4 linked regions of the Caenorhabditis elegans genome follow. The protein of the gene in region 4 interacts with the protein of the main gene of each other region in a pairwise test. Each region holds a gene or a part of one and is shown on either strand. Other genes may lie near its edges.

The links.
Region 1: the proteins of hda-1 (region 4) and T22F3.2 interact in a two-hybrid assay, tested with the Caenorhabditis elegans proteins (2 studies listed by BioGRID).
Region 2: the proteins of hda-1 (region 4) and nasp-1 interact in a two-hybrid assay, tested with the Caenorhabditis elegans proteins (2 studies listed by BioGRID).
Region 3: the proteins of hda-1 (region 4) and F55A11.1 interact in a two-hybrid assay, tested with the Caenorhabditis elegans proteins (2 studies listed by BioGRID).

What each region holds. Positions count from the first base shown.
Region 1 is NC_003283.11:3,583,191-3,591,954, forward strand, and holds T22F3.2 (Ubiquitin carboxyl-terminal hydrolase 36), read left to right. Parts: upstream 1-3,448; 5' UTR 3,449-3,449; coding exon 3,450-3,591; intron 3,592-3,641; coding exon 3,642-3,875; intron 3,876-3,928; coding exon 3,929-4,171; intron 4,172-4,226; coding exon 4,227-4,389; intron 4,390-4,438; coding exon 4,439-4,568; intron 4,569-4,812; coding exon 4,813-4,977; intron 4,978-5,123; exon of another isoform or gene 5,124-5,195; intron 5,196-5,312; exon of another isoform or gene 5,313-5,384; intron 5,385-5,451; coding exon 5,452-5,556; 3' UTR 5,557-5,822; downstream 5,823-8,764. Other genes in the region: pygl-1 (Alpha-1,4 glucan phosphorylase), read left to right, coding at 1-98, 405-1,362, 1,423-1,599; rpl-11.1 (Large ribosomal subunit protein uL5A), read right to left, coding at 2,179-2,418, 2,468-2,683, 2,734-2,868; T22F3.12 (Peptidyl-prolyl cis-trans isomerase), read right to left, coding at 5,839-6,073, 6,122-6,225, 6,569-6,688.
Region 2 is NC_003280.10:11,103,000-11,110,979, forward strand, and holds nasp-1 (Protein NASP homolog 1), read left to right. Parts: upstream 1-3,612; 5' UTR 3,613-3,636; coding exon 3,637-3,749; intron 3,750-3,800; coding exon 3,801-4,167; intron 4,168-4,216; coding exon 4,217-4,792; intron 4,793-4,850; coding exon 4,851-4,943; 3' UTR 4,944-5,071; downstream 5,072-7,980. Other genes in the region: C09H10.5 (uncharacterized protein), read right to left, coding at 752-758; C09H10.9 (YqaJ domain-containing protein), read left to right, coding at 1,519-1,608, 1,666-1,917, 1,972-2,186, 2,232-2,368, 2,418-2,527, 2,572-2,710, 2,759-2,886, 2,931-2,963; apc-1 (Anaphase-promoting complex subunit 1), read left to right, coding at 5,225-5,278, 5,332-5,661, 5,706-6,135, 6,421-6,567; glb-4 (GLOBIN domain-containing protein), read right to left, coding at 6,614-6,818, 6,873-7,023, 7,304-7,389, 7,436-7,600, 7,651-7,758, 7,806-7,980. UniProt on the Caenorhabditis elegans protein: Promotes normal hermaphrodite (XX) development, in concert with zinc finger protein tra-4 and histone deacetylase hda-1, perhaps as components of a complex. May act redundantly with nasp-2.
Region 3 is NC_003283.11:11,759,291-11,766,882, forward strand, and holds F55A11.1 (EF-hand domain-containing protein), read right to left. Parts: upstream 5,096-7,592; 5' UTR 5,089-5,095; coding exon 4,990-5,088; intron 4,859-4,989; coding exon 4,782-4,858; intron 4,737-4,781; coding exon 4,476-4,736; intron 4,364-4,475; coding exon 4,240-4,363; 3' UTR 3,849-4,239; downstream 1-3,848. Other genes in the region: T04F3.3 (Tyrosine-protein phosphatase domain-containing protein), read left to right, coding at 1-35, 453-1,081, 1,124-1,258; T04F3.5 (uncharacterized protein), read left to right, coding at 1,399-1,476, 1,638-1,736, 1,785-2,058, 2,102-2,217, 2,261-2,360, 2,528-2,604; T04F3.4 (EF-hand domain-containing protein), read right to left, coding at 2,673-2,800, 2,847-3,004, 3,557-3,611, 3,664-3,706; syx-5 (Putative syntaxin-5), read left to right, coding at 5,629-5,817, 5,894-6,076, 6,319-6,790, 6,836-6,933, 7,388-7,592.
Region 4 is NC_003283.11:14,523,847-14,532,146, forward strand, and holds hda-1 (Histone deacetylase 1), read left to right. Parts: upstream 1-1,542; 5' UTR 1,543-1,561; coding exon 1,562-1,735; intron 1,736-1,781; coding exon 1,782-1,899; intron 1,900-1,944; coding exon 1,945-2,811; intron 2,812-2,904; coding exon 2,905-3,131; 3' UTR 3,132-3,565; downstream 3,566-8,300. Other genes in the region: ril-1 (RNAi-Induced Longevity), read right to left, coding at 1-67, 116-265; kcnl-4 (Calmodulin-binding domain-containing protein), read left to right, coding at 7,278-7,353.

The sequences.
Region 1 (8,764 bases), about 11 Mb from region 4:
GGCGAGAAGCGCATCAATATGGCTCATTTGTGCATTGTGGCTTCTCATGCCATTAATGGAGTCGCGGCTCTTCACTCGGATCTTCTCAAGAGCTCCACGTAAGCGAAAATGCTCTGAAACCTGGCGCTAGAACCAATGGGCGACGCATCATTTTGCAGCTCCGCCGCACGAATTTATTTTGGCTGTTTTTCGCATGATGTTTTGAAAGATTTCGATATGTGAACTCGATAAAATCACGAAAAATTGATAATTTGTCATTGAAAATTCGGACAGAAAGAGAAAAAACATCGTGCGGCGGTGTTGCTAAATCGCGCGCCGCAAATTGCAATCCCGGCCCGCCCAATTTTTCTTACGCGCAAATTGCAAAATTACCATTTTAAAAAATTAATATCATCCATTTCCAGCTTCCGTGACTTCTATGAGTTCTACCCGGATCGCTTCCAAAACAAGACGAACGGAATCACACCACGCCGCTGGCTTCTTCTCTCCAACCCATCTCTCGCCGACCTCATCGTCGAGAAGATCGGCGAGTCGTGGATCACCAATCTCGACGAGCTTCAGAAGCTCAAGGAGTACGCCAACGATGCCGGGTTCCTCGATTCGATTCGTCGTGTGAAGCTCGAGAACAAGCAACAAGTCGCCCAGTATTTGAGCGACGAGTACAATGTCAACGTGAACGCCGCTTCGTTGTTCGATGTGCATGTGAAGAGAATCCACGAGTACAAGAGACAGCTTCTCAATATTCTCCACGTCATTGCTCTCTACAATCGTATCAAGGAGAACCCGAACATCGATATGGTTAAGCGTACCGTGTTGTACGGAGGAAAAGCTGCTCCAGGATACCATATGGCTAAGCAGATCATTCGTTTGATCACCGCCGTCGCCGAACAAGTCAACAATGATGCCATCGTTGGTGATCGTTTGAAGGTCATCTTCCTCGAGAACTACCGTGTCTCGATGGCTGAAAAGATCATTCCAGCTTCTGATCTCTCTGAACAGATCTCGACCGCCGGAACCGAGGCTTCAGGAACCGGAAACATGAAGTTCATGTTGAACGGAGCTCTCACAATCGGAACTCTCGACGGAGCCAACGTTGAGATGGCCGAGGAGATGGGCGACGAGAACATCTTCATCTTCGGAATGAACGTCGAGGAGGTTGAGGCGCTCACAAAGCGCGGATACTCTTCGCAGGAGTTCATCGACAAGAGCCCAATGCTCAAGCAGATCATCGAGCAAATCGAAGGTGGCATGTTCACTCCAGAAGATCCAGATCAGCTCAAGGATCTCTCCAACATGCTCCGCTATCATGATCGTTTCATGGTGTGCGCCGATTTCGACGCTTTCATTGAAGCCCAGGATAAGGTAAAACTCAAAAAATTCAACTAATTCAAATTTTTACTGATCAAAATAAATTATTTTCAGGTCTCCGCTACATTCCGCGACCAAGAGAAGTGGTCTCGCATGGCCCTCTACAACATCGCCTCGACCGGAAAGTTCTCAACAGATCGCACAATCACCGAATACGCTCGTGAAATCTGGGGAATCGACCAGTTCGAGAGCTCTCTTCCAGCACCATATGAGAATGAGAAGAGCGAATAATTCTTCTATGCACTAACATTGTAATTAATTATCGCCATAACTTCCCCTCCTCTCCGTCCCATTTAGTTTATAGCATTTTTATAGAAGCCTTTCCCTCCCCCGATAATTCTTGTGAATCTTCAAGATCAAATTGATTTTGTCCTCTCTGCCCCCAGTCCAATAATCGTACTTCCCCCGAATGTGTTGCCATACTTTGAGATTGTCTATTTGCACGTCTGCCCTGCATATTTATGATAAATTGACTGAAAATATCAACTTTTTTTTTTTAATTTTGACTCGAATCTGCAAATGCTGAAATTTAATTAAAAATTATGGCTGTCTGAAGGATCTTCAAAGAAGTTTCGATACCTCTACGACCAGCTCGTTAGCAAAATACCAAACTCCTTTTCGATGAGTTTTCAAAATTCCTGGATAAATATCCTGAACTTTCTACATCAGAAGACCATTCGCAACGTAAAATTATTGATTCCAGGAAGTTGAAGTTCAGATCCACGACAATCAGACTATGATTCACAACTTTAACAAAACATTAGCAATTTCATTTTTAATAACAACAGTTTATTCAGAAAATAGAAAAACTTAACGACGACGGAAGAAGTTCTTCTTGACCTTTGGCTTTGGTGGCAGAATGATTCCATCGTACTTTTGCTGGAACCATTTGATTGTCTCCTCCTTATCGACACGGTGGGATGGTCCAATGCGTCCTGGTGCACGTCTGCGCTTGGAAACTCGAACTCCGTTGCGGTTCAGAACGACGTAGAAGTCCATTCCGTAGATTCCAATTCCTGGGTCGTACTTGATTCCGAGATCAATGTGCTCCTGGAAACAAAATAATCATCACTTTTGAACACTTCAACTTTAAGCTAACCTGAACTCCGAAACCGAAGTTTCCAGTGTCAGAGAAGTTCTCTTTGAAAAGCTCGTATTCCTTGACCTTGAGTCCCTTCTCGAGGATTTCCTCAGCCTTTGGTCCACGAACGGTGCAATGAACAGCAATCTTTTCGTTTCTGCGAATTCCGAAAGTTCTGACGGTGTATCGGGCCTTGGAGAACACTGGGGTTTGTCCGGTGAGCTGCTCGAGCACCTGAAAATATTTCGAAAATTTACGAATTACTGTAGAATATATTGGAATACCTTAGCGGCACGGGTGAGACGATCTCCAGACTCTCCAACACAAATGTTGAGACAGAGCTTTTGGATCTTGAGCTCGCGCATCACATTGCGGCCCTTCTTCTCGCGAATTTCCGTCTGTTTTTCGACGTCCGTCATGATTACCTGAAAAAAAGCATAAATACATAAAATTTGAAAACTGTGACAAGCGAGAACAAGTAGAGAGAAACGCATAGACACAAGTTCAAAAATGCCGATAAAAAATTAGCATCTTGAGATCCTAGAAAGATATTCAAATTTTAGGCCTAAAACAACGAAAATGGGAGGAGCGACGCGCACACACACACACACACACCGGCATGCGCTGAAGAGACGGCAGAGAAAACGGGCAAGCGATAGAACAGCACAAACGGGTGACAGAGACGGCGAAACAACGACAAACCACTCTCATTTTGTGAGGAAAACTCGAAAAATCAGAAAAAAAAACCTCGAATTAAAATGATTTTCGGCCCGATTTAGGATTCGAGGGTACGGTTTTGTTTTCGTGCCGAGATATCGTGGTCCCGAAAATGGTGTGTGCCTTTAATTTTCGAATTTAATTATTTAATTCAGCTTTTTTCCGATTTTCGCTCTTTTTTTTTGAAGTTTTCCTTGAATTTTCTTGATTTTTTCTATATTTTCTTGAAATTTCTTCTTTTGAATTGAATTTCTAATTTTTTTTCAACGTTTTTTGTTACAGAATGACAGTAAATGAGGGTTGGGATTCGTTCAAAACGAACAGATGGATTAATTTCGATACTATTCCATCATCCTCCTCACAAAATCGTCCTGCACCCCGAGCTCCTGAAATTGAAGTTAATAGAAAAACGCCTGATTCACCATGTAAGCTTTGGAAAATTTGCGAATAATCTGATTAATTTTGTTTTTTGCAGCAAATCGAGCAAATCGCCCACGAACGCTTTCAGACCGGGGAAACGAGATTTTGGATAATCATGAACTCGTCAGCAGTCTCTACGCTTGGAATTGGTCAGAATTGAGAGAGAATTATCCGGAAAAGGGAATCCAGAATCCGTCGATTTATTGCTATGCGATCTCGTGTGTTCAATTATTATCGCATGTTCCGGCAATTGTAAGGATCCTTCAGGATCATCAATGCCAAGATACAGGTTTGATTTATGATTTTTCTATGAAATATTCTCGCAATTATGCTAATTTTCAGCTTGTCTCTGCTGCAACTGGAAGAAAAACTTCCTTCAAAGCCATGGCCATGCTGGAACTATCAATTGGTTCCGTGAAGCATTCAAAAAAGATCGAAAATTCAATCAAGGCCGCCAGGAAGACGCTCATGATGCTCTCCTGGCGATTCTGGGGAAGCTCGATAAGATATCGGTGCAGAGCAATCCTCGTCTGAAAGGCCGCAAAGTGGCCGATGATTTGTTCGGATATTCCATAAGAAATGAAGGTTTTTGAAGCACTTTATTGATTTTTTTTTTAAAGAAAATAATTTTAATTTCCAGTTCAATGCCCCGGGTGCAAGAACAAGCACGTCTACTATGAGCACAACACCGTTATGACGGTTCGGATGCTTAGAAAGGATCCATCAGGCAAAAGCCACTCCATTAAAGAACTCATGCAGGCTCTGTTCACGGAATCCAAGATATTCGGCTATAATTGCTCAAAGTACTGGATTTTCGAACTCATTTTCCAATCAAAATTCCCCAATTTTCAGGTGCAAAAAGAAATCCGACGCGCCAGTGAAGCCCACACTTCTCCGAGCTCCACAGATCCTGCTAATGCACATTTCTCGCTTCTCGTTTGATGGTTGGGGGAAGAAAATCTCTCGGCCTGTCACCTTAAATGTTAGTTTTTAAAGAAAACGGCACAGGAAAAAAGGGCGGAGTCGCGAGCGCAATCCGCGGCGCGCGATTTCGCAACTCCGCCGCACAGTTTTATCCGAATGGTTTTTCACCTATTTTTCCGCACTTTTAAGTGTTTAAAGTCATTTAATTGAATAGAAATTAATAATTTGTGCTTAAAAATTCGGAAAAATGGGTAAAAATAGTTAAATTAAGCAACAAAAAAAAAATTCAATTTTGATTTCAGGAAACTCTCGATGTGACGAGTATGGCCACCGCCGGCGCATCCACCGTCTATAAGCTGTGCGGAGCTGTGATCCATGGTGGGACTACGCTGGACTACGGCCACTATTGGTGTGTGGCTCGATCGAGAAAACGAGAGGAGCAGTTCGTGACGTTGAATGATTCATCGGTAAGGTTCCGTGTGGCAATGTGACCTTCTAGTTCTCCTGTTTCAAACAAGTGAGAGAGAGAACATTGATTCCACAATGCGATTATGCAAAAAGATACATCACGCCGGAGAGATTCGAAGAAATATGAAACTCCATTTAAAAAAAAGGGCCGAACCGGGGATTGAACGCGGGACCTCTCGCACCCAAAGCGAGAATCATACCACTAGACCATTCGGCCACTGATAAATATTCAGCGGGAAGCCAGAGACGTAAAGCATGCTTGCTTCAAATGACTAATAAAGAATCATTTCTTACCATTTCTACGTCCTTCGCTTCCCGATGGATACTTATCCGTGGCCGAATGGTCTAGTGGTATGATTCTCGCTTTGGGTGCGAGAGGTCCCGGGTTCAATCCCCGGTTCGGCCCATTCCTTTTTTGTTGTTTTTTTCCTTTTTGGAATGCCCAGTTAACTATTAATAAATCTACTATTCAGGTCTCCCAACACACGAATCCACGAGATGCTCTTCAATCCTACATTGTGCTCTACAGGCGGCGCGAACACCTGGCCAACGTTGGCAATGAAAAGTCGATGATTTAGTTCAAATAATTGCAATTATTTAGTTCCTCCCCCCACTCATAGCTGTACCCTATTTTTTTTTTAAATTTTTACCTTGAAATCGTGTAGCGTCGTTCCGTGATACATTTTGTTTGCCCCCCTTCCCCACCCGTTTAGTACTGTACTATCGTTTAGCAGTATTTTTCATTGTTGTTCAATCCCGTTTTACATGTTTTTTTCTCTCTTTTTATTAATTCTGGCGTACCTTTTCATTTTTGAATTGCCGATTAGAAAATCATCAAATTTTGTTTAATTGCTATTTATTTATTCAAAAACACCACAATTAGCAATCACAATATTGGCCTTTGTCCTGCCCTGCTGCGGCCCATTTCCTTCCAGAATTCCCAGATTCTCAATAGCATCCAGAACATCGAATCCCTCGACGAGCTCGCCGAACGCCACGTGGAATCGGTTCATCCACGGAGTTTCGCGAAACGTCACGTAGAATCGTGACGAGTTTGTGTTCTCCCAGCCATAGTTATCCATTCCTAGGATTCCTCTGAAGAATAGGGATTTACCTGGAAATCTGGGGGCAAAAAAAACTCACTTTTTGTCGTGAAGAATCTCGAAATTCTCGTCGTCGAAATATTTGGTGCCAAACGTGGATTTTCCACCGTCTCGGCGAGCATTTTGGGTTTCAAAATCGCCGGACTTAACATATACGGGAACATAAAATTCTCAAAATGCGTACTACGCAACATATTTGACGCAAAACTACAGTAATTCTTTAAATGACTACTGTAACGCTTGTGTCGATTTACGGGCTTGATTTTTTAAATGCATTAAAATCATTTATTTGCCGATAAAATGTTGAAATTAAACAAAAAATCGAAAATCGAGCCCATAAATCGACACAACCGCTACAGTAGCCATTTAAAAAATTACTGTAGTTTTCGCTACGAGATATTTTGCGCGTCAAATATGTTGTGCAATACGTATTCTCATTATTGGGGTCTCGTAAACATTCGTTCAAAAAAAAAAGAATTCAACTCACACAAGCACAAAAAGTGGGAATAACCCTATAAAACACGCAATTCTTGTATCCAAAACCAGGCGGCCCGGTGCAAAGTTTCACAAAATTCTCACATGTTTTAGGGCATTTTTCAGTGTTCAGCTGGAATATTTTTCGGATTAGCTAATATTACACGTGATGCCAGCCTGTCCCATTACGGTTTGATCTACAAAAAATGCGGGACTCTTTCGCCCAAAAAATGTGACGTCAGCACGTTCCTAACCATGCGAAATCAGTTGAGAAGTCTGTGTCTCTTCTCCCGCTTTTTTTGTAGATCCACGTAGATCAAGCCGAAATGAGGCTTTTTGACATCATGTGATATTACAGGAACTCGAAATTCTGAGATTACGTAATGCGCAACATATTTGACGCGCAGAATATCTCGTGGCGAAAACTACAGTAACTTTTTAAATGACTACTGTAGCGCTTGTCTCGATTTACGGGCTCGATTATCAAAAATGGACAGCTACAGTGCTGGCCAAAAAGATATCCACTTTTGGTTTTTTGTGTGTAACTTTTTTCTCAAGCATCCATTTGACTTGAATTTTTCCGTGTGCATAAAGCGAAATGTTACGCAAATTTGCGGACCAAACATTACATGATTATCGATTTTTTCTGAATTTTATTTCAATTTTTTGATTTTTTCGTTTTTCCAATTTTCATTATTTTTTTTTGAATTATCAATAAAACGCACTCTGTTTGTTGCACTGGATTTGTTTGGTTGATAAATTATTTTTAAGGTATGGTAAAATCTGTTGGGTGTAAAAATCTTTCCTTGGACGTCAAGAAAGCCATTGTAGCTGGCTTCGAACAAGGAATACCCACGAAAATGCTCGCGCTGTAAATTCAACGTTCTCCGTCGACTATTTGGAAAGTAATCAAGAAGTACCAAACTGAGGTGAGTTCGAAAAATATTATTTTTTAATAATAAATGTTTAGAAATCCGTCGCTTTGAGAATCTCGCCCGGCAGGCCTCGAGTGACAACCCATAGGATGAATCGCAACATCCTCCGATCAGCAAGAGAAGATCCGCATAGGACCGCCACGGATATTCAAATGATTATAAGTTCTCCAAAAGGACCTTTACCAAGTAAACGAACTGTTCGTCGACGTTTACAGCAAGCAGGACTACACGGACGAAAGCCAGTCAAGAAACCGTTCATCAGTAAGAAAAATCGCATGGCTCGAGTTGCGTGGGCAAAAGCGCATCTTCGTTGGGGACGTCAGGAATGGGCTAAACACATCTGGTCTGACGAAAGCAAGTTCAATTTGTTCGGGAGTGATGGAAATTCCTGGGTACGTCGTCCTGTTGGCTCTAGGTACTCTCCAAAGTATCAATGCCCAACCGTTAAGCATGGAGGTGGGAGCGTCATGGTGTGGGGGTGCTTCACCAGCACTTCCATGGGCCCACTAAGGAGAATCCAAAGCATTATGGATCGTTTTCAATACGAAAACATCTTGGAAACTACAATGCGACCCTGGGCACTTCAAAATGTGGGCCGTGGCTTCGTGTTTTAGCAGGATAACGATCCTAAGCATACTTCTCTTCATGTGCGTTCCTGGTTTCAACGTCGTCGTGTGCATTTGCTCGATTGGCCAAGTCAGTCTCCGGACTTGAATCCAATAGAGCATTTGTGGGAAGAGTTGGAAAGACGTCTTGGAGGTATTCGGGCTTCAAATGCAGATGCCAAATTCAACCAGTTGGAAAACGCTTGGAAAGCTATCCCCATGTCAGTTATTCACAAGCTGATCGACTCGATGCCACGTCGTTGTCAAGCTGTTATTGATGCAAACGGATACGCGACAAAGTATTAAGCATAATTATGTTGTTTTTAAATCCAATTGCTCATATTCCGGTACTTTAATTGTCATTTCCTTGCAACCTCGGTTTTTTCAATATTTCTAGTTTTTCGATTTTTTTGAATTTTTCTGAAGTTTTTTCAAAATCTGTTGAACATTTTTTATGAATATTGTGTTTTTAGATTTTGTGAACACTGTGGTGAAGTTTCAAAACAAAATAACCACTTAGAAAAAAGTTACACACAAAAAACCAAAAGTGGATATCTTTTTGGCCAGCACTGTATATTCCATTTTTCTTCATTTCTTCGTATTATTTTTTTAAAGCCTAATTTTAATATTCTATCGAAAATCGAGCCCGTAAATCGATACAAGCGCTAC
Region 2 (7,980 bases), on a different chromosome or scaffold from region 4:
AATTATTTTTGTTGGTAAGCAAAGAAAAGAGAATGAATTTTTATGAATTAATGAAAACAATTTTTTAAAAAGCCACAGGATTTTTAAATGAATGAATAATAACCGATTACAGAGGAACTGAAAAAAAACTGAAAATGAGTGTCTGTCTGAGCTTCTGACACTGCTTCTTCCCTCTCTATGCCTCCCCCGGCAGCAAAACAACTTGAAAAACAACAGCTGATTTGGCATTGGAGCGTCTATGCAACCGTATCGAGTCTCTGCGTCTCTCACTCTCGCTACGAATGTTCCAAAAAGGCCGCCGTGAAGAAAAATGAGAGAGAGAAGGTTCGTGTTGAGAGACGGAAGAGAGGGCAGAGAGAGTGGTTTCAATGGAAATTTATGATTTTGTTGGAGAATTTTCTTTAGTGAATAGTAAAATATCACGAAAAAATCTAAAGATACTTGGAAAATCTGAAAGCAATTTCTATTACAGAGTCGCGAAATTTTTAATTTTTGCGCCCGGCCTCGACACGGCAATTTTCGTCAGATACAAACAAGTGTGCGCCTTTAAAGAGTACTGTAACTTCAATTGTTGTGGAATTTTCATCGATTTTTCGTTAAAAATATTAAAACTTAAATAAAAAATAATGAAAATTCGATGAAAATTCCGCAACATGTGAAGCTACTCTTTAAAGGCGCACACCTGTTCATATTTAACAAAAAACATTTCGTGTCGAGACCGGGCGTCGTGTTTTTAAAAATTAGCACTCACCACGCATTTTTTGCATCAATTTCAGAATATTTGAGATTTCCAAAAGCTACAGTGAAATATGAATACAACAAATATTACACAAAAAGAGATCTGAATGGGGTGAGAGCAACGAGAAAGACTGTCAAATCTCCAATTAGGGGCTGAAAACGAAAACAAAATTCTGAGTCGGGGCGGGCAGACGTGATATTATGTTGTTGAATTCTATAGGGAAGGAATCTACGTTACTAGGTCTCGAAGCGACCGGAAATTTTATAGAAAAGCTACGAAAAAGGGGTTGCGCCTTTAAAAAGTATTCCATTCAAGTCTCACTTTTTTGTTTCAGAAAATTATTCGATCTGCGAATTGTGGAAGGATATTCGTAGCAACTACAGTACTCCTTAAAGGCGCACACGCTTCATGCCTGCTCTACAATAAACATTTTCTATCGTGTCGAGACCGGCTACCGTATTCTTTTGTAGGAATTGAAACAATTTCGCATCTTGGCATCTGCAAAGGACTGGAAAAAATGTTTTAAAAACCAAAAATTTGCAGAAAATAGGTCATTATTTAATTACGTCAAAACGCGTTGTTCTGAAACTGAAAAAAATTAATCTGGAAAATTAAAAAGCTGACGTGACCTTAGATTTGAAAAGAAAATGATATGCATAAAACGTGGGACCTGTGGAAAACACGATGACGAACGAACCTTTGAAATCAAAGAAAAAACACATTATTTCGAGTTAGTCTAACAATTTCCTGTACGATTTTACAATTTTCCCGACGAGCAAATGCCTCGGAAGCGTTCTAGATCCGAAAACTACGAGGATCACATTGCGATTCATCATACGCTTCAACCAGTGACGTTCATTGAGGAAGAGGTAATTTGAAATTCTATGAGACTTTTTTTTTTTAAATCTCAATCTCATAATTTTCAGTTAATTCTGGTGTGGCGATTCCCAGTGGACATATCCCAATCTTCTATCGGTGGACGGACAACTTTATCAAATGCCTGTACCCTCATTGCTCTGAAAATTGCCGAGCTCGTCCATATTCATGACATCAAAATGCCAATACCGTATCCAACTCGAAATGATCGTGTGGCGGCCGGTGCTGAGAGGACGCAGCGGAAACATTATATTCGTAGCTCTGCAGATGAGACGGTTGTGGATAACAATGGTTTTGAAACTGTAAGACTTTTTAGATTAAGCTTAATTATTGGATTATAAATTTCTTAATTTCAGACTTGCCCACCGCGACTTATTGGTTGTCTGATTAATGGGATTGTGGATGGAAATGACACTTATTCAAAGCACGCTGGTGACGAATCTACGAGAAATTACAACTTGCCAGATGCAATCAAAGCATGTGATCTTAGTTTTTCGGAAGTTGATTTCAAACTAACTACTGGATCAATCAAAGAATCTCTACCAAAACTAATCAAGATGGCTGTTCGGCAGTAGGTTCAAAATTTCAAATTCTATAAATTTCCGGCATTTTTCAGTCCATTATTTCAATCGGAAAGTCGCCTTGTCTTCATCATGATGAGCTGTGTTCGAACAGTTTCGATTATTTTCGATAGAAATCAGGACACGCTAACTCTATTCGACGCACACCAGCATTACTGGCCAGATAATAAAAGTAATATTTTATAGTTAAGCTTAATAGACCAATTAAATATAATTTTCAGAAACTTATAAGCACGGCGCTCTCATTGGTACTTGTAGCTACAGTAACTTGCACTCATTTGCAAAATGGATAGAAAATTTTGTGTATCCGGATGTCGCCGACCATGTTAATGTGAGGATCTACATTTTTTTTCACCTGTCATTACAAAATTTCAGGCATTTGAAATTTCGCTGATAAGAATTACGGAAGCCGGCACTAACAAAGCTCAAGGTGTATGTAAATATCCGGATAATAAATTCACAACGATCCGAACGCCAGTTTTCCAGGCTATGAATTTGCAGGAGGACAAAGAAAGTAAGTTTGATAGTGATTAAACGAAATTCAACAAAAACTAGATTGCAGATCTGAAATTGTCGGACCATCCAGTTCTCCTCGGCATTCTCTCCAAACCCCCAATCGTAAAATGTGGAGTAAAACGACGACACGACTCAGAAAATGGGGAAAACGAATTTACAATAAAATTAAAGAAGGTATTGAAACACAGCAGTTAAACATAATTTTAATTTCTTTTCAGAAATCGCCTAAAACGACTTCTGAGCGGACTTAATTACAACTTGGAAGATTCTCAACAATGTGCCATCGAGTTTTATGTGATATACAGTTTTTCTCTAGTATTTAGAATAAAAGTTTTTAATAAATTCATTTTGTTAAAGAACTAGAAGGAAAATAGGCAAAAGAAAATGCAAAAACAAAAAAGAAAAAATAAAGAAAACTCCAATTGCTCGTCATATGTGATGCGTTACAGTAATATCTGTGCGGCACGCAGACGCAACATTGCACAGCGCGGGAAAATTTGTTGTTGACAATTTAAGTTTATACTCCCAAAAAATTGTTTTTTCTCTTTTCAAATGAAAGTTTTGCTGAAGTATTGTGTTTATTTTTGTTTAATTAAAAGTTTTTAAGCGGCGGCAGTGTTAATAAGTGATTCAAGCTGGAATTATCAACTGAAATCAACCAAAAAATCGGCCTGTCGGTCTGTTCTAGCGGTAGAATTCTAAAAACATCATGAATACAGTTTATATGTTTGTTTAAAAACATTTATTGATAAACCTTTTCGAAACGTACTAATTCCCGCCGTATGGCCGGTTTTTAGTGGACTAGGCAACGCTCGGTTTCTAGGCTCTCCCGCGCTATTATACTCATTTGAATTTATCCGCTTTTTATTGAATTTTGAATATATATCGAATAGTATTTATTTTCAGATATTAACAAATCAGAAAATGGACACTGAAAACATCGCCGACGCCTCTGATATTCGTGTGAAGGATGCTTCAGGAGATTCAGATGAAAAAGGAAACGGGACTACTACAGAAGAAGAGACTGTCGAGCAGAAGTAAACTTTTGCTGCAGAATATCATCAATAAAATCACTTTTCGTATTCCAGAGAGAAGCGTCTCGCCGAGTTGCTTGCAGCTGGACGCCGTGCGTTGAAAGTTAACGATATCGACAAAGCATCGGATTCGTTGAGTGAGGCTACTGAACTGAGCTCCGAAATTTATGGAGAAAACCATGAAAACACGTTCGATTCTCTTTACTATTATGGCATGGCCACACTGGAATTGGCGAAGGAGGAGAGCCAACTTCTGAAAGGTCCAGGTGAGAAGGAAAGCGGAGATGAGGAGCAAGCTGGAAATTCTGATGACAAGACTGACGAAGAGAATGGAGAAACGGAGAAGGAGGACGGAGAGGAATCCGGTGAAGAAGAGGACGATGATGATGATACCATGAAATTATCATGGGAAATTCTTGAGGTTTCTTATTTTATTCAATGATTTTATGCTTAATTGTGATTATTTTCAGACAGCTCGTTGTATTGCCGCTGCCAAAATCGAAGCTCTAGAAGCTGAGCAGAGTGGAATCAGTGCCATTGAGGAATGGAACCTGAAACTCGCTGATGTACTGGTTCTCCTCGGCGAGCACGGAATATCAGATGGAAAGTATACTCAGGCTTTTGAGGACTTGGATCGTGCCCTCAACATTCAGCGCAATGTTCTTCCACCGTCGTCGAGAAAAATCGCCCAAACCTACATTCTCATCGGAAACGCGTGTGCTAGCGATGCGAATTACGATGAAACCGTTCAGTACTTCGGCAAAACCAAGGACGTACTCATCGCCAGGCAGACTGAGTTGAAGCATGAGCTGGAAAGAGGTGTTGATGATAAGGAAAAGAAGTCTGAATTTGAGAATGAGCTGAAGGAGCTTGAAGAGATGATGCCAGGCGTTGAAGAAATGATTGCTGATGCTGTGCACTCTGCAGCACAAGTTGAGGAAACTAAGAAGGCCATTAAAGCGCAATTCGAAGGATTCACACAAGTATTGGCAAAACTTCCACAAGAAGCCGGTGATCAGAAGGAAGCAAATGATATTTCTAGCTTGGTACGGTTTGAATTAACTTCCCGTAGACTTTTTAAATATTCAATTAACAAATTTCCAGGTTCGTCGTCCAGCAAAACGAGCAGTGGATGCTCCAACTGACAATCAAGCAGTGAAGAAAGAAAAGGAGGAGGAAGGAACAACTTCGATCTGAATATTGATAACCTGTAATTCTAAATATTTCATCATGATCTGACCTACTGAACTACTGATAATGTATCAATTAACATTTTATCTGTTATCCGAATTTAAGGATTCTAAAGTAAAACTTGTTCTGTATATATATATTCGCCATATATTCGTTTTTATAATTTGTTTCAAATCTTTTTCATACTTCCAAAATAATTTTACTATTTAAAACAGGATTTTCAGCTTCATTCAAATTCGAATTATACTTGTATGAGTGAAGAATTTGATGATTGCCATTGGAAAAATATGATCTCTGCTAATAAACAGTTTGATATTCAGCTGGGAGATGAAATTGGAAAGGTAATTTTTTTTAGATAATTAACAATTTAAAAAAAGTAAACTTAAATTTTCAGGATTTCTTCACCCAGGATACAGTGGTCTGCGCGTTTCGAAACAAGGAGAAGACCACGGATTTTGTCTTCACATCGGGTCCAATTATTCTCATTTGTGATGGAACGACGCGACGGAAGATGATTAAACGACGGTTCAAAATGGAGTTTGATATCAAAAAAGTGTTCTTCCACTCGTTCATTGTGACTCGAAACGCTGAAAAGTTGGCAACTGAGAATTGTGGTGGACCTGATACGAAGCATCGGGATTATTTGGTTGTGTGCGGTGAGCATAAGCTCCAGTTCATATCGCTTCCCGACTATCATTTCTATCACTATGAAATTCCTTTTAAGGTGAGAATTTAGTTTGAAATTCTGATAATTTCAAATATTTCCAGCTTCGCAACGTGTTCTCCTGCTCGACAAGTCTTCTGGTCGAACGGTTCTACGATTCATCCAGCGAACAAACCTTCCACCATCACGACACATTTCACCTCTACTCGCTATCCGGTCCATTCGGCGAGCTTCTCCCGGTTATCTACAAGACAAGCGGCTACCATCCACAATGGAAATTCTGTTGGCAATCGCATCGAGACGAGGCTGGACTCGTTGACGCTCAGCAAAATTACGTTGTTGTCTATGATCAGAAGGAGAAGACGCATCGGATTTATATGGCACGAGAGACACAAGAACAGGAAGTTCACGCAGCGATTCGATACGTTGAAGCACTCAGAAGACCGTCTGATTCAACAATGTTCGCGTCGAGTTTGGCGCCGAATTCTGCCGGCAGAACTACGCATTTTGATCCGACACTCAACTCTCCCGCCGGTAATTTTTGAAAACTTGAGCTTTTGGATAAATATATTATTCGTATTGTATCAGACATTCAAATCGTCAATATTTAGTTAATTTACAGTGATTTAAGTTAAAAACCAAAAAAACCTCGTTTCGAACAGGAAATAATTCGATTTTCCCCAAAAACTACTAAAAAAATCAAATGTTAAATTAGAAAGAGTTGTGATTAAAAACTAAAAAATAAATATTTTCAATTATGATATAGTGTGGAAGTCCGAGTTAATTTATATTCAACAAAAAATCATAATTATTTTCCAGAAAATGTGCTCTCCGAAGTGATCAGCTCGGAAATTGATAGCCGCTCACCGTTCACTCCTCATCTGCGATCCGGTTTTGGACATTCTACTCCAAACAACCCGAACGCTCCAGGCTACCCTGCAACACTTCCAACACCGAATTTTGAAGGTAATTTTTTTTTTTAATTCATAAAAATTTATTAGCACCATTAACCTCAAGTCGTGGGCGATCGTGCACGATGATGATGATCAAAATTTAAAAGTGTTATGCTTCGCCGTTGCTGATGCGCTCGTCCTGGCACTCGATTCTGTTTGACTTGATCTTCGAGGGGGCTCAATTGAGACGTCAACTTGAGCAGTTGAATGTCGCAATTATTTAGAAGAATTGACGGGTTGTTGGGAGAAGACATACGGCGGTTTCTGAAAATACGTGAAGTGAGAATTATAGCTGATGTCCGTCAAATTGTTACATACCGTAGTGCTGTGAAGTCTTGGCTATTCCTTTGAAGAGCTCCACCCGCGCGGAACATACTTCTTCGTCGATATGGAGTAATTGGAGATGATGGCTGAGTTGTTGTAGTCGTCGAGTTGCTCTCTGTTGAGCCAAGAAGAGCACACATTGGAGCTAGATTTGAGTAAATTAGAATATGAATTTAGCCAACAGAAACCAACAACAAAAAAACTATAAAACGAAAAGCACACGGCACACAGCAAACCTAGAAGTTAGTGTATTTATTGTTATATATATATATATATATACGTGGTGAGAAGGAAAGTGTAGAAGCGAACAAAATCAACTGAAGAATATCGAGAAAACTATCTAAGTGATCTACGAGGTGGTGGTGGGCGGTGTTTAGATGATGGTGAGCTACGACACGAATGTGAATGATGAACTTGAGACGCACCGATTGCCGGCGACATGTTCGGTTCGAGAAAATGGGAGGCGGATCGGGAACGTGATGAACGCATCGATGCCATTGAGATTATCGAGCTGGAATGTTTAGATTTTTTTGTGGAAGATATGGAAGAGCACTTACTTTGTAATGCTTAACCGAAGAGGTGTCTTTTCACTTGCACATCCCTCATATCCTCGTTTCATTGATTCGATTAACATGCAGGAAAACTGTCTCCAAGACTCACAAACTTCTTCTTCTTCACTTTTCTCCGCTGCCCTAGACCTTATTCTCAATATTCGCCGAATTCTGAAAACCAGTTGATTTCCCACCCGTGATGTAAATTGTCAAAAAGTTACTTGCTATCCTCTGTGACAACCCGCATGTACATTTTGCTCATGGCGATCGGAAGTTGTTGGGCAAACGGAGCCCAAAAGCAGTTGTCATTTCCCTCATTCATATAATGTCTATAAACATTTTTGTGAGTGTTGTCCCACCCACGCATATGACTAACCGATGGCGTGCTCCGAGACGGAAGGAAAGCGTCTTGATCATTTCTGGATCACATTTGTGAACTTTGATGAGTATGTTGAGAAAGTCACGAACTTGATTGATGATGTTGAGAAATTGAGCATTTTCCTTATAGGTAGCGTGCATAGTCTCTGGTAGATCAACAAGAGCCCATACCC
Region 3 (7,592 bases), 2.8 Mb from region 4:
CGAGCAGACGCGTGTTCGAGCCGTTCATCGTCAAGGTAATTCAAAAACTTCAGAATAAAAATATGTAAAACTAGTGGGGCGTTACGTCATTACACATTTATTTACTACATTATATTATTTTAGTATCGCAATTTATGTCAAGTCGTTAGTGAAATTTTAACAAATTAACTGAATATTCCACGATATCTCTATTTTAGTTCCACGCCTTGATGTGGTGGCAGTACGTGAATTTCAATGTTTGACGTTCAAAAACAGAAAAAAAGCGTTAGGTCTTTCATGTAGGCGCCAAAACACCTGCCTGCCTCACCTTAAGGCGACCTTCGCCTGCATCGCGCACCGTCTATCAAAATAAATATGAAAATACCCCCTTATGGCTGTCACAAGGGACACTAAAAAGACGGAATGTCTAGATTCTGACTACCCGTCTAAATCCAATCTTCTACACATTTCAGGTCATAATTACCTCAACTCAAGTTGGATCGACGGATATCGTGAAACTCGAAAATTCATTGTCGCCCCGTCTCCTATGTCTGAAAGTGTTGCTCAATTTTGGCGGTGTGTTTTCGATCGTAATTCTCTTATTGTGGTGACACTGTGCGAGCTCCTGGATGAAAAGGGAAAACCATTTGTGCCTGTAAAGATTGGAGAACCATTGGTAATTGATGATATGACAATTGAGTTGGATAACATTCGAAAAGTTCGACCGGCAACTTACTCTTCTGTTCTGAAGATTTCTGAGAAAGGTGTCGAATCTCATAAAACAGTGATTCTTCTGACCTATAGTGGATGGGGAAAACTTGGTTATCCACAGAAACCATCTGATATTCTGGATTTATTGGCAGATATGAACCATATGAGAACAATTCTCAGAAAACAGGGACTTGAAAAGAAGATTTTTGACGACAGTCAACGGACACCAATGACATTGGTGTGTTTTGATGGATTCAGTAGAAGCTGCACTCTTGTTGCTTTGGATATTCTTTGTCAACGTCTGACAGCCTCTCATGAAATTGGTACTCCATTTGTTGATATTCTGGATACAATTGCTAGACTTCGAATGCTTCGTGGTGCAGCCTGCATGGTGATACGTTCTTTATAACTAGATTAAAATTAATATTTTCAGAAAGCCGAGCAGTTTGTCTTCTTATCAATGTCAGTTCTCGAATATGCCATTCGTCATCATTTGGTGAATGTGGAGGATCTCGGTAAAATCAGCTTGAATGGGTTTATCATTCGCAATAATCCTGAATCTTACTGACCCGTTTTTTCAAGTCTACAAATAAAAGATTCTTCAAATTTTTTATTCTCATTTTATTTCCTTCCGGATGACCTACATTAAAACTTGAGTCATTTTCCCAATTACCACCTTTTTGGAATGTCACTTTCAAGTGTCAAACAATGAATACGTACACATATCTTCAGATTTACTTTATATTTCTTCACATCTGTCACTGCCAAATATTTCAACAAATTCCAGTGAGTCCAGTAACTGGTTTGAATTTCAACAACTTTTTTAGAATCTGATTTATCTGAGAAACTATCTTTGTCAAGAATGTTATTATCTTTCAGAAAAATTTGTTAGACAATTTTCACAACGTTCGATGAAAGGATATTTCTGAAAGTTTATAGTCTTACAGGTTGGAATGGGTATGGGAATGGGTATGGGAATGCCTATGGTTATGTCAATGCCAATGCATAATCTTGTTGGAAACCCATTTGAACAAGGAATGGAAATTGTACGTTTTCATGTCATGATTTTCAATTCATAGTTCTCTAAAATTTAGGAATACTCTCCAATAACTCAACTTGTTTCATCAGTTGCTCATCTTGTTGAAATGCATCAAAAAAGTAAAGAAAGAGAAGAAGATCATCAAAATTCCCATGGTCCAATGTTTCCGGAATTCTCACAGCTACAGAGCCAGATGAGACGTAGGCCATCGATCTCAGAATCTGGAATTTCATTGAATGGACCACGATTTAATTTAATCCCGTACAGTCAAGACGGCCTGGGTTCATCTGGTTCATCGACAACGTCTAGAATTATTAATTCAATATCTCGTAAGAATGGATTTCTTCAACATGAGCAAAAATTCAATTTCAGCTGATACGATTCCACCTGTAATGTGGAGGATTGGTGATCTAATTGGAAAGCATGATACAAATGAAAAAGAGAACTTGTACGATATGACTAAGATCAAAGGATTCCCTATTACTAAAGTGGGTCGATTTACAGTATATTAAAGTTGTAACAATATTTCAGAGTCTTGATAATGAGAAACTATTTCGAGATGAAGATTTTGCAAATAAATCGAATAAATCTTGGACAGTCTTGGAAATTGCTAGAAAAATGTTGGGTGTTGGTAAGTTTTTCTTCTGAGTTTGCAAAATTCATTTGATGCCCTGTGTAATTTTGAATATTAAACAAAACTTTTTGTGCAAGATCGCTGTGAGACCTTTTGTGAAAATATAGCGTGTATGTACCTTTAAAATGAAGTCTCAAGTTTTTAAGAAACTTTGATAATTCCAGATGAAATACCGACTGCCAACGAAGGAAATGCAATAGCTCAGTTGATTGAAGAACTTCGAAAAAATAAAGAAAATTAGTTGAAATCATCTATTCCAGTTTAAACTTGTAAGAATACAAAATTCAATAAATTATCTATCAACTATAATCACTGTCGTTTCAAATATTCTCCATAATCAATAACTCCATCTCCATTAAAATCCAAATCATCCAAAACAGCATCAACAAGTCTCTCTGTTTCTGCTTCATCTGATACTGGAACAGGATGTCCGGAATCTAAAAAGTATAAAGATAAGTCTATAATTGATTGGTTATCCAGTACCGTGTGCATCATGAGTGTGAGTAAGAGCCTTCAAAATTTCAATTCCATCAATAAAATTGTCCTTATTCAAATCATGCATTGAGAAATAATGGAACCGTTGTTGTTCTTCTGTTAGCTTCTCAACTTCGATTTTATTTTCCAAATGTTGTTTGATATGTCTTAAAACAAAAGAAGCGTACTATTGAAAATCTTTCTCAAATTACTAATGAAATGTGTCTTGAAACTCTTTTCGAGAAAAACTAACTATAACTTCTAACTGTAAGGGAAAAATGTAAATATTAACATTTTTAAAGTAGAATTTTAAATAGTTGTCAATATTAGGAATGTCCAAAACGCTACCTATTTCTCAGCCGTGAAACTTTTTGACACCACCGGATGTGCGCCTTTAAAGAGTACAGTAACTTTTGTTGTTGTAGCGCTTTTTTTAATAGATTTTTGCTCAAATGCTTTAGTTAATTTTTTCAAAATAAAAAAATCAATTAAATCATATAAATTTTGAAAAATAGTGTACCAACAATGAAAGATCGATGAAATTAAAAAATTACAGTCCTCATTAGAGGCACACATCCGCTTGTATTTGACAAGAAGTGTCGTGTCGAGACCGAGTTATGTGCTTTTAGCGCGAAAATTGCTAAATTTCGCATATGGCATATAATTGCATCTACATTTACTTTAACCAAACTAATTTTCATACGTACACTTGCACTTACTCTTCATCGTGTACTTCTTTTTCTTCAGCAAACTTTGCTCCTTGAGCTTCTAGCACTAAAATTTAATAATTTATAAACATTAGAAAGTTATAAACAGATTTGCATACCTAATAGAAGGAATACAGTTGAGATGAATAAAAATCCACGCATTATAGAGTGGGAATATGTATAAAATCAATAGAAATAGACAGAAAACTCTTTTTCTCAAGACTGCCAAATGTCAATATTTTATTATCAGTCTCCCCCTGCTTCGCCTTTTAGTTCCAACGCAAAATTTGGTAGTGCAAAAGCAAAAGCAAACATGAATTTTATTGTTACAGGTGCTAAATACAAATTTTCATTTGTTTTTATTCGATCTCAACTAACTATAAGATAAACCAATAAATTATGCTTTTTACAAATGGGTTTCGAAAAATCATCACAACTTGAGAAATGATGGGGAAAATGCAAAATTGGAAAAATAACTAAAGTTGTAGGACTGGGAAATGGGGAGGGTGTCTGACTATTATGTACCAGTTAAAGTGTTAAAAGTGACGAGGATAGTATGATAAAATGATTTGTTACAGCAGTCGATATAACCCATCAAAAGACGTAGAATGTTAATAAAACATTGAAAACTTTGGAAACGAGGAATTGGAAATTATGGCTATTAATTAGATCGTTGTCCTAATCAGAATTCTCGATTATTGTGTGCCACCAGCTTTCTGCATTTGTTCCTGGTGAGATCTTGCTTGATCTTCTCGAAGCTTTTGTGCTTTGAGGAACTCTCCGTAGTCGATGAAGCCATCAGCATTGAAATCGTCGTCCCTGAAAATATTCAGTAAAGTATTTTTTTAAGACTTTGAATATTTTAGTGCTTTCTTATGCTAATTGCTAGCAGTAGTCTCTAGAAAATAAATTAATTAAATATATATCTCACTTTAAAATACTATCAATCATCGTCTCCAATTCAACTTCACTTGGGAGTGGTGGTGGCTGATGATTGGCATTGGCATTATTTTGTGTATGCTGTGGTCCTGGATTCTCGGCATGGAAATGCGTTATTGCCTTAATCAACTCGACTCCATCCAGTTTCCCATTTTTATCTAAATCGTGCATATTGAAATAATGGAATTGAAGTTGTTCTGGCGTCATGTTAGCAGTTGGGTCCACTTTTCCGTCCAAATGTTCTTTTATGTGGCTGAAATGTTTTAAATTAATTTTGAAAATTGTTATTAAAACTTACTGTTCATCTCTGGCCTGTTCTCCACCAAACTGCTGTTGCCCAGGCTGAGCATGTTGAGCTTGTTCCGCTTGGCCACCCTGATTTATTCAATACAATTTACAAAATTAAAGAAGCTTTAAAATAATAAAAATCACTGTATCCAGATTGTTTTTCAGTTCAATTTCTAGCGAAAATAATTTTCTTATTATTCTTTACAAACATTGTTTACCTGTTGTGGTTGCTGTTGATTAGAACCAGGAAACTGCTGTGGTTGGTGGGCAAAGGAACCAAGAATGAGGCAAGATACCACCAAAATGTTGGCTGCCATTCCTGTAATATTATAATCACTAAAATATAGACAAAACTAAGTAAGAATACAGAAAACGGAATCAAAAACGGAAGCGTGAAGTGGAAGCTGTTATTTTATTTGTGTCGATTTACGGGGAGATACGGTAATCGGGAGGCAACGTGTTCCAAATCTTACGGTAATCGCTGAAATTTCTTAAAACAATAAATCGAAACGAAAAGTTATGTGTATTTTTTTAATAAAATTAACTTGACTGAGCATTTTGGTTGAGAAATATAAAACTTAAACTGAAAATTAAACAAAAAAAAAAGAAAAACTAGTGCATTGAGGAGCGTGTTTGTTGCGCATAAAATACGCAACGCCACGCACAACCTCCGACCACACATTGATTTTCTTCTCCACGAAGTCGAGCCGGTTTAGTGGACTGTTGCGACAATGCAGCGAAATATTTGTTATTTGTTTTTCTTTTGAAATAATATTTTTACCGTGACATTTGAATATATTAATCTTTTCGACGCTTTCAGTCATTTAAACAATATTTTTCAGTTTGTTCGATGTCGGATGTCGGACTTTCACAACATTAGATCTCGTCGACGAATACCAGAAGCCAGTTCTTACTCAACAGTCGATTTTGATTACGATCCAGATCAGAAGAATCACACTTCAGCAGTTGCTCCGACTAGTTTCGCGTATAGCTCTCTCACAACCGTTTTCAACGCGTCAGCTTCACAACTTTGGAATTCTGCGCAGGTTTGTCTATCGGAACGAAGAAAGATGGCTATCTGTATATTTCTGGTTTTTATTTTTTCATGCATATATCTTTCAGGAGGCGCTTGTATCCTCCTACGACACAGCGGAAGGCACTGAAAGCATAGACGCAGATCGATCAAAGGTAGTAGAAACACTTGAATCGCTGAGTATTTTTGGAAATCCACTTGATCATATCATTATCACAATGCCATCAAGAGATCGAACTTCGGAATTCCGGGCGACAGCCAAATCATACGAAGTGAGTTTTTTCATTAAACTTCTAAAAATAAGCTTTTATTTCGAAACATTTACTTTTAAAACGTGTTATTCGGGTTTCACATCAACATTTGGACGAGACGAATATATCGATTTTTGCGAAACTCGAAATACACTTCGAACAGAAAAAAGAAACACGAATCACCTGTTAATATTTTTAAAAACATTCTAGGCGATAATATTTTTATTATTTATATAAAATTCGGGTAACATATAATTTTTCAGATGAAAGCAGCCGCAAATGGAATTAGACCTCAACCAAAGCATGAGATGCTATCTGAATCCGTGCAGTTCAATCAACTCGCAAAGCGAATCGGAAAAGAATTGAGTCAAACGTGTGCAAAAATGGAAAAACTTGCCGAATATGCTAAGAAAAAGAGCTGCTATGAAGAACGATCTCAAATTGACCATCTTTCATCAATTGTCAAGTCTGACATTACGGGTTTGAACAAACAGATCGGACAACTTCAAGAATTTTCAAAAAGACGTGCAGGAAACATGAAAAATCAAAATAGTGGACATATACAATTAGTTGTAGTTGGATTGCAGTCAAAATTAGCGAATGTCGGAAAAGATTATCAAAGCGTACTGGAAATTAGTACAGAAACAATGAAGGCTGAAAAAAATCGCCGAGATAAATTCTCGAGTGGTGCAGCAGTTCCAATGGGACTTCCTTCCTCCTCTTCCGGAGCTAATGGTATTTTATTTTCCTCGCTCATTCAATAAAAATCTGAAATTTTAGTTCGTTCAAAGCTTCTTCAAGATGATGAGCAGCATGGCTCCTCAAGCATAGCTCTGGATATGGGTGCTCTGTCAAACATGCAATCACAACAGACTATGGTAAGTTTTCAATTTGAAAAATATGAAATTTTTTTTGAAAAACTATCAATATTAAATTTCCAATGCTCCGTGTTTAGGAGAAGTACAGTGAAACTTTTTTTAAAAATTAATATTTTTTGCCAATAAAGCAAGTTTTATCGAAACTAATTTAGAACAGCAAAGAATACATTTGAAAAATTGCGATGTTACAAAAAATTTGTAAGATTTCTATGATTTTAGTTAGGAAATGTTAATATTTTCTTTGGAATTCGTTTTTTTCTTTAAAAATTTAAAAATTATATTTCTAATAGTATTAACCAAAAATTATGACTTGATAGAATATTGTAGACATTTTTGAGCGTTTATTGAAAACATAAAAATCGTGAAAACTGTAAATTGCTCAAAAATCAAACAAAAAAATAGATAGAATATAGTTAGTTTTTTTAAACACTTTCCAAGAAACAAATATTTTCAGCAACAAAGAGATTCATCATTGGAATATGCGCAAGCCCGTAGCAACACCATGGCGACAATTGAAGGATCCATCTCCGAACTTGGCCAAATTTTCTCTCAACTGGCTTCACTCGTCAGTGAGCAAGGAGAGATGATAACAAGAATCGATTCAAATGTTGAAGATACAGCTCTTAATATTGATATGGCACATTCAGAGCTTGTGAGAT
Region 4 (8,300 bases):
CTGAGTAAATGTAGAAACGGAAGATTGGGAGGTACTTCCAGCAATGGCGCCAGGACCACATTCTCAACTGAAATTGTCATTATTTATTTTCTTCATACTTTCCGGGAAATCTTACGTATTCTTGAGCGGTCCATGGCCGGGCTGGCATGCGTGGATGAAGGTCTGTGGCCGGGATTGGAGCATTTGGAGAAGCAACGACGACGGCGGCTCCTTTGACTGTCTCGGCAGTCCACTTTGCTGCCTCAAAGAGCTTTCCTACGACCATAGTTGATTACCTACAAAACTAAAAATGATTATGTAGTTAAGCTTTATTTGAATATTGATATTTTTAAGCTAAAAAAAAAGATAATTGACATAATTCAACATCGTGAGAGCGTGGGGAAAAATTGAACGTGAATTGCAAGAAATAAACAAAATAACTTATATTTATCAATATTTTACATCGAAAAAAAACTCAAAAAGAGCAATTTTTAGCTTAAAAATAAAAAATTGGGAAGCCAAAAACTGACGGCGGTTTTCGTCCCGCCCCTTTTTGCAAGATTGTGCGTGCTCGCGGTTGTGTGCAAACACGCCGCACACACTTACGACGCTGCGTTTTTTGTCTGCCTCCTGTTCTCGTTCAAAACTGTTTCACCGTTCACCTCGTTTTTCTCTCACTTTTCTGTTTTTCTTATTGTTTTCTACTAGAATTATATCTATATTTGTTCAAAATATAATAAAAAGACGACGCTTGAAGTGTTTCGAATAGTTATTTTCACTGAGCTGCACCTGTCTAATAGACCCACCGTTCAAGGAAGAAAATATCGATTTGTAGGCACTGAATAATATTTTTTAAACATTTTTCGATTCAAAATAAAAATACTTCCAGCAATGGCGCCAGGAAATTCATTGGAGAACTCACTCTCAAATATTAATCTCAATTTCGTAAAATGCTATTATCAAAAAATATCAATAGCACAGGCCACGTGGCTTTTGTTTTTTATTTAAGCTCCTCCCACAACTTTATTTCCGAAGTGAATTTAAAAATTAAACTAAAGGTCAATCATGGGAGGAGCCTAAATAAAAAAGAAATAAAAATCAAAAGCCATGTGGCCTGTGCGATTGATATTTTTTGATAATAGATTGTGGCTGGCTAGTTTAGATTCCTGTAGAAATTGTGCCAAGAAAATTTAAATAATTTCAAGACAAGGCCCAAAAGACAGTATATCATATTGTCAGAATTTTTTATTCCTTGGCACTGGCGAAATTTTCCAGTGCTCTAAATTATTCCAAAAAACCACAGCCACCTGTTTAAGTATATGTCTTTGAAAATTATATTCCTTCAAAGTTTTTACAAAACCTCAATTCTTATATTTTTCCGCTTCAATGATCTTGCCGAATTCAGTTTATTGATCAAAATGTGTTATAGTAATGAGCGTTTTCACGTCGCGTTTATATCGATTACCAAAAATTAGCCAAAAACTCGATCAATACTGCATAACCTGTCTTACACCTTCTCCTTCTCTTCATTTTATTTTTCTTCGAGCAATCTTGTTATTTCAGTCTACTGCGACCATCAAACATGAACTCAAACGGCCCGTTGATGGAGCACGGTAAGCGCCGTGTCGCCTACTACTATGACTCCAACATTGGAAATTACTATTATGGTCAAGGGCACGTCATGAAGCCACATCGTATCAGAATGACCCATCATCTCGTTCTCAACTATGGTCTGTACCGGAATTTAGAGATTTTCGTAAGTAATATTTCTTCATTGAAATATTGTAAACGTTTAATTTTAGCGCCCATTCCCTGCATCATTCGAAGACATGACTCGTTTTCACAGCGACGAGTACATGACGTTTTTGAAGAGTGCGAATCCAGATAATCTGAAATCCTTCAACAAACAAATGCTTAAGTGTAAGTTATATTCTTTTTAAAACTAAATGTATTGTCTCATTTCAGTCAATGTTGGAGAAGATTGTCCTCTCTTTGATGGTCTTTATGAGTTCTGCCAACTCAGTTCGGGAGGTTCTCTGGCTGCTGCCACTAAATTGAACAAGCAGAAGGTGGACATTGCTATCAATTGGATGGGAGGCCTCCATCACGCCAAGAAAAGCGAGGCGTCCGGATTCTGTTACACCAATGACATCGTTCTCGGTATTCTCGAGCTTCTCAAGTACCACAAGCGAGTACTTTACGTCGATATTGATGTTCATCACGGAGATGGAGTAGAGGAGGCGTTCTATACGACTGATCGAGTAATGACAGTGTCATTCCATAAATATGGAGATTTCTTCCCAGGAACCGGAGACCTGAAAGATATAGGAGCTGGAAAAGGAAAGCTCTATTCAGTCAATGTTCCACTTCGCGATGGAATCACCGACGTCTCTTACCAGAGTATTTTTAAACCAATCATGACAAAGGTTATGGAGAGATTTGATCCCTGTGCTGTTGTTCTTCAATGTGGAGCTGATTCTCTCAACGGAGATAGACTTGGACCATTCAATCTGACCTTGAAAGGCCACGGAGAATGTGCTCGTTTCTTCCGAAGCTACAACGTTCCACTTATGATGGTCGGTGGAGGTGGATACACTCCAAGAAATGTGGCACGTTGTTGGACGTACGAAACCTCGATTGCCGTCGATAAGGAAGTTCCAAATGAGTTGCCATACAATGACTACTTCGAATACTTTGGACCAAACTACCGACTTCACATCGAGTCGTCGAATGCAGCAAATGAAAATAGCTCCGATATGCTGGCTAAATTGCAAACTGACGTCATCGCCAATCTCGAGCAGCTCACTTTTGTTCCAAGTGTTCAAATGAGACGTACGTTTTGAACGAATTTTTGTTCACTTTTTAGAATCTGTCAGAAAATTATTAGATGTTTGTTGAACACTTCATAATTATTCCATTTTTCAGCGATCCCAGAAGACGCCCTCTCTGCATTGAATGATGACTCATTGATCGCCGACCAAGCTAATCCCGACAAACGACTACCACCACAAATTACCGATGGAATGATTCAAGACGATGGAGACTTCTACGATGGTGAGCGTGAGGGAGATGATCGAAGAAACGAGAGCGATGCGAAGAGAGCAGCTCAGTTTGAGTCGGAAGGTGGTGAAAAGCGTCAGAAGACAGAGTAAAACACTAAAATGTGCCGCCGTCGAATTCAGTATCTCCTCTGAAAATAATATTCAATCACTGTACACCACTTTTTCCTTGTCAAATGAGTATTACTTTTTGATTTTCCTTAAATCTAATTTAATTTTCCGCCCAAATCCCAACTGTTTTATTTATTTTTCAAATTCAAGCACTTTTATTTGGAAGATCTCTTCACTTTTCCCCATTAATCCTTTTTTATCTCAGTATCCTTTACCCGTTTTGCACTTCCTCAACATCCTTACTCCTCACATCCACATCTAATCTACCCCCTTCAACGATTTCCATTTCTCTTGTCGTCCCACACTCCCCATTTTACTGGCACACAATTCCAATTCCACAGTCAGATCCTGAACACTTTTTTGTATTTTGGTGAATTTCTTCGTTTTTATTTATTTAATAAAATTGACTCGATTGGAACCGGCGCAACGTCTATCTTCAATTCGGAAATTGGAAAAATCGAATTTGTCACATTGGAATTCGAATGGAAGAAGACTAAAGTTTTTGCAGTTGACATCGTTTATGTCGTCAGTTTCAGCTGCTTCATAATTATTGTCTGGAAGCGAGCAATTATAACACGAATTATGATGACTACGCATGTGGTCTCATATTACAGAATAAATTCTCATTTCTATTTTCAATTGTATTCCTTGTCTGTCTTCATCTGATGTTGGATGGTGTGCTCCAAAACGGAGACCAACAAAAATTGCATCATAAAAATCCACTTATCCAAATTTTAGCCCCACCTGGGAATGGAATCGAATCGGCTCTCCGAGCACTCCTTTCACACAGAGACGGAGAGAGAAATTAGCTTTTTACTGGGTTCTTGTTGTTGAAAATGCAAAAAAGATGAAAACATGTTTCGATTCTTTCTTTGTTTTTCTTTTTTCTTTCCACTCATTCATACTTTTCATTGTTTGTCGTTCATTTTTCAAGTCTAAAATTCAGAAATATCGAAAAAAAAGGATATTCAATTTCGCAACGTAACCGATTTCCGGTTAGATATCAGCTTGAGCAGAAGGGGAGGTGCATGAAGAATAAAAGAAGAAGGAAGGGAGAAGCTCAATTTCAGTTGATGAACATTCGTTTTTTAGTTTTATGTGTCTTGTCCTCCATTGAACTTAACTCTTTAAAAATGGATTACCGGTTTTTGAACATCTCTTTTTCAGTTTATTAATCGCAACGTCACACGTAAAGCCGCAAGGGTTTATTCGGATGGGTCTCGCCACGAGGAAAAAGTTTAAGTGTACAGTTTAGAATGTACATCAAAAAGTTATACTTCAAACTTTTCTCGCAGCGAGACCCATATGATTAATTCTGTGCACCTTTAAGTTTCAGAAAACAGCGAAAGATAAATGAGATGACATGAGAAGTGTACTATTCTCTTTTTTTTTAATTTGGCAGCTGAAAATACCAAGAGAACGGAGTTCGTGGCGAGACCCATTGAGAAAATTGTACGTAATCTTCTGTACACTCACGAATTTACTATAAAATTTAAGAAAATATTATTTAAAGTTTTCTAGATGATTATTGAATCTATTTGAGATTTTCTGTTAGCCACAATTTGGCATAATTTTCAATGGATTCAAAGAATTTTCGTTAAATTTTTTTTCTAAATTTGAAATACTTTGAAATTCTTTAAAAAATCAAGTGAAGTGGTTTAATAAAAAGACTGAAAATATATTTAAAAAGGTTTTTGTCTCTTCGGGTACAATTTCAGATAGAAATTGACGAATTGAGATACAAAGCTTTTAAAGTTTACTGAAATCGTATTATTACAAAATGAACGCATATTAATTTTTCCAGAACAATTTTTTGTCGACAAAATGTAGGAAATGTGAGATCCGTGTAATAACGGAAATAGAGCTGGCAAGCCCAAGTTTTGAGAATCTCGTTTTAAAAAAGACCGTTACACTTTTTACCAATAAACCATATTATCACTTCAAGACGGTTTTTTACAGACTTTTAGGCATGTTGTGATATATATTTTAAACTATAGTTTAATCCATAGGAAAAATTCTGAAGCTTTTCGGACTTTTTTCTTTAAAAAAATTAGTGAACATTGAACACGGCTCTGGAATAAACCAAATTTCTTTATACTACTCGTCTTACTATTAGTTAGACAGTTTTCACATCTATAACAAGAATGATATTTTAACCAGAATTTCTTGAATATCCCAAGAAAAAGTCTTATTCTATGGTATTTTGCTATCTTCTCAAATTTCAAAGATCTTGAAAGTAAGTCGTTTGTTTTCTTTCACATTGTGGTCTAAAATTAAATGAAGTAAATATCTATGTACATCTGCGTCCATTCAATTTCCCACTTAAAACAGAAATAAATGTAGTGCCCTTGTTAATGAGCAAAAGTTGACCTTCATTGATGGAGTTGAGAATATCTGGAATCAATTATTTTCATTATTGACTTCCCCCTTTGTCTACTTCCTCGTTATTGAAATACTTATATTTCTAATTGGAACACTTGAATTTAGAGTCATAAACTTTTGAACATGATCTTTTTCTCGTTGAGTTATCTACCATTTTCCTCGTAAAACAACGATCGATAAAATCCAATAAAATCATCACTTTAATCTCGGATACCGGAAATTCGAATAAAATTGAAAATTGATCATGTGCTCCTCCAAATAATCATGTCGTTATGTTTCACCAACGCTTATTTTCCTCTCTTTTTTGAATATGAATAGTGTTTCTATGGTTTGAATGAATGATGTCATTTTGAATGGCACACTTGCCTTGCTTTCCATTATTTAACAATAGGCAAGTTCAGCCAATAATGTGGTAAATGTATTAAGTAAAGCTATGAATGAACCAAAAAGGTAAAGACGTGCATTTACTTTTTGGATTTGCGCAAACCTTCAAGAAATACACTAAAATGACTGTACTGACCTGAAGTTTTAAAGAATATTTATCTGAAAAGTTCAATTTGGAATTTTTCCATTTCACTTACTATTAGTTCATTATAGTTCAAAAGTAATGTTTTTAGTTTAAAGAAAGCCTGAAAAATATAAAAATTTGGTTATACTCCTTTCATATAGCTGATTTATTTTTATATATCCACAACTAAATTATATCAGTAGTTGGACTTTTATATTTACCTACTTGAACCCGAAAAAATTATTTATTTTTTAAAATTGTCTCAAAGTTATTTTCAACAGTAGAGCGTGTCTTCCAATAAACACAACATACACTTTGTTTGTGCTCATTAAAAAAATTAAAATATAACTTAAAAACATTAACTGCCACATTTATAGAAATGTTCAGTTAGAGATAGAAATTTTTAATCAAGCTCCCAATATTTAAATTCAAAATAGTACGAACTAGAAAGTTTTAGAATAATTTTGGTAAAAGCCTATTAATTTTTTGAAACCTATGTCTTCTGGAAAACCCCGTGGAATTTTGTAGCTTAACCATAAAAACATTTTTTTGCAAAATTTGAAACACACATAAATTTTTTTTTTGCGAATGCTACTGAGAAAACCCCAAATAATTTTTTCCTAAAATTTTAACATCTTGCAAGATTCCAACTTTTCCTGTTTATCTGCAAGTTTGTAACTTGTTCATTTCCGTGTTGTTACACATTGCCACCAACTTATCAGTCAACATTTTTGCTGTGAGCAGTATATGGTGATATCAGAATTCGTTCCCACAAGTCAACGAGTATTTTTTTTTCTTTCTCGCAATTCTAGCTATTTGCACAAAAACAAGACTCTTACCTAATCCCTCAACTTTTCATGTTCTATGTGCTCATTTTACCCACAATTTCTCTTCTCTTTCCAGAGAAAATTTTTGCGTCGGAAAAAAAAGAAAAAATCGTTCAGGTTTTATTGGATTCTGTTCAATTTTTTTTGGGAACTGATATTTTCAATTAATAAATTGCCACTGTTTTCATTCACAATTCATGCATTTCTGACAATATTGCAGGTACCAGAATGTACCCGCCCTATTCTTTTATTTTTTCCATTATTCTCGAGTGCGCCGCCGGTCCATCGTCGGGGTGAAGTAAATCCATTTCGCGCCACTACTCAAAAATGCATTTTTTGAGTGCTCACTCTTTTTGGACACTTTTATTCTTTTTTCTTCGTATTGGCAATAAGAATTAATTCAGGAACAAGATGGCGGCAGTACGTGCTGGAGCTGTTGGCCTGTCGAAACAGGCAAGATTCACAATGTATTCGTCTACAAGGCCAGGTTAGTGAAGATGTTGGGAAAAAAGTAGTCAGAAAGTTATGAAACAGGGGTATTCGGTATGCTTTTCTCGGTACATACTTGTAGACTATACCTCTATAGATCCTAATTCTCATGATACCTACAAAATAATTATAAACTCAATAATCTTTAGTGAGAAAAAGTAAATTCTGGTGATTCTTGAAGAACTTGGTTTCACAAAAAAATAAATCTAGAAGCACGCAAAATGTATGTAACTGTCTGCTTTTTTTGTTCGACTAGACTTTTTAGAATCCCTGGAGAAAAATTTTGAAATGTCAAGTACTTGACGTTACTTGAACTTGTTGATCATTAATTTAAAAATACATATGTCCTCAGAATTAAAATCAGAATCATTTCCCAATCCTCAACATATATGTATACTTCTCAAAGATTATTCATTTGTTTTTTTGATCTAGGATATAGTTTTTTTGAAGTGAGTGTGTTGAAGTGAAGATTTTTTAAGGAAATCTGTAAGAAATCAGCTCATATCCTCAATCAGATTACATCTATACAATAACAGTAGATGTTTAAAAAGGATTTAGAAAATAAATCTCTAAACATCGGGAGTTTGAACACCTAGAATTATCAAAATAATGACACATTTGTTTCAACCATTTATTACTATTGTAAACAGATAAGATAAACCAACTCCCGAGCCGAAGAACTTTTTGAACTGTTCAGTTCTAGTTTTTGAATGAAAGTAATTTTCGATTAGTTTTAATCATGTTTATCTTGAGACTAATTAGTATGGACTCAACATCCTAAAATGACAAAAAATCGGATAACTAGTAAGTTTGATTTTTACGTTCCGGGAATTTTTTGCAGTATGTCTAGCAAATTCATCAGGTATAATTTTCATAGTTTGCTATAGACTTTATAAAATATATTAGAACTTGAATAAAATTGACTTTAAAAGTTGATAAAATTTG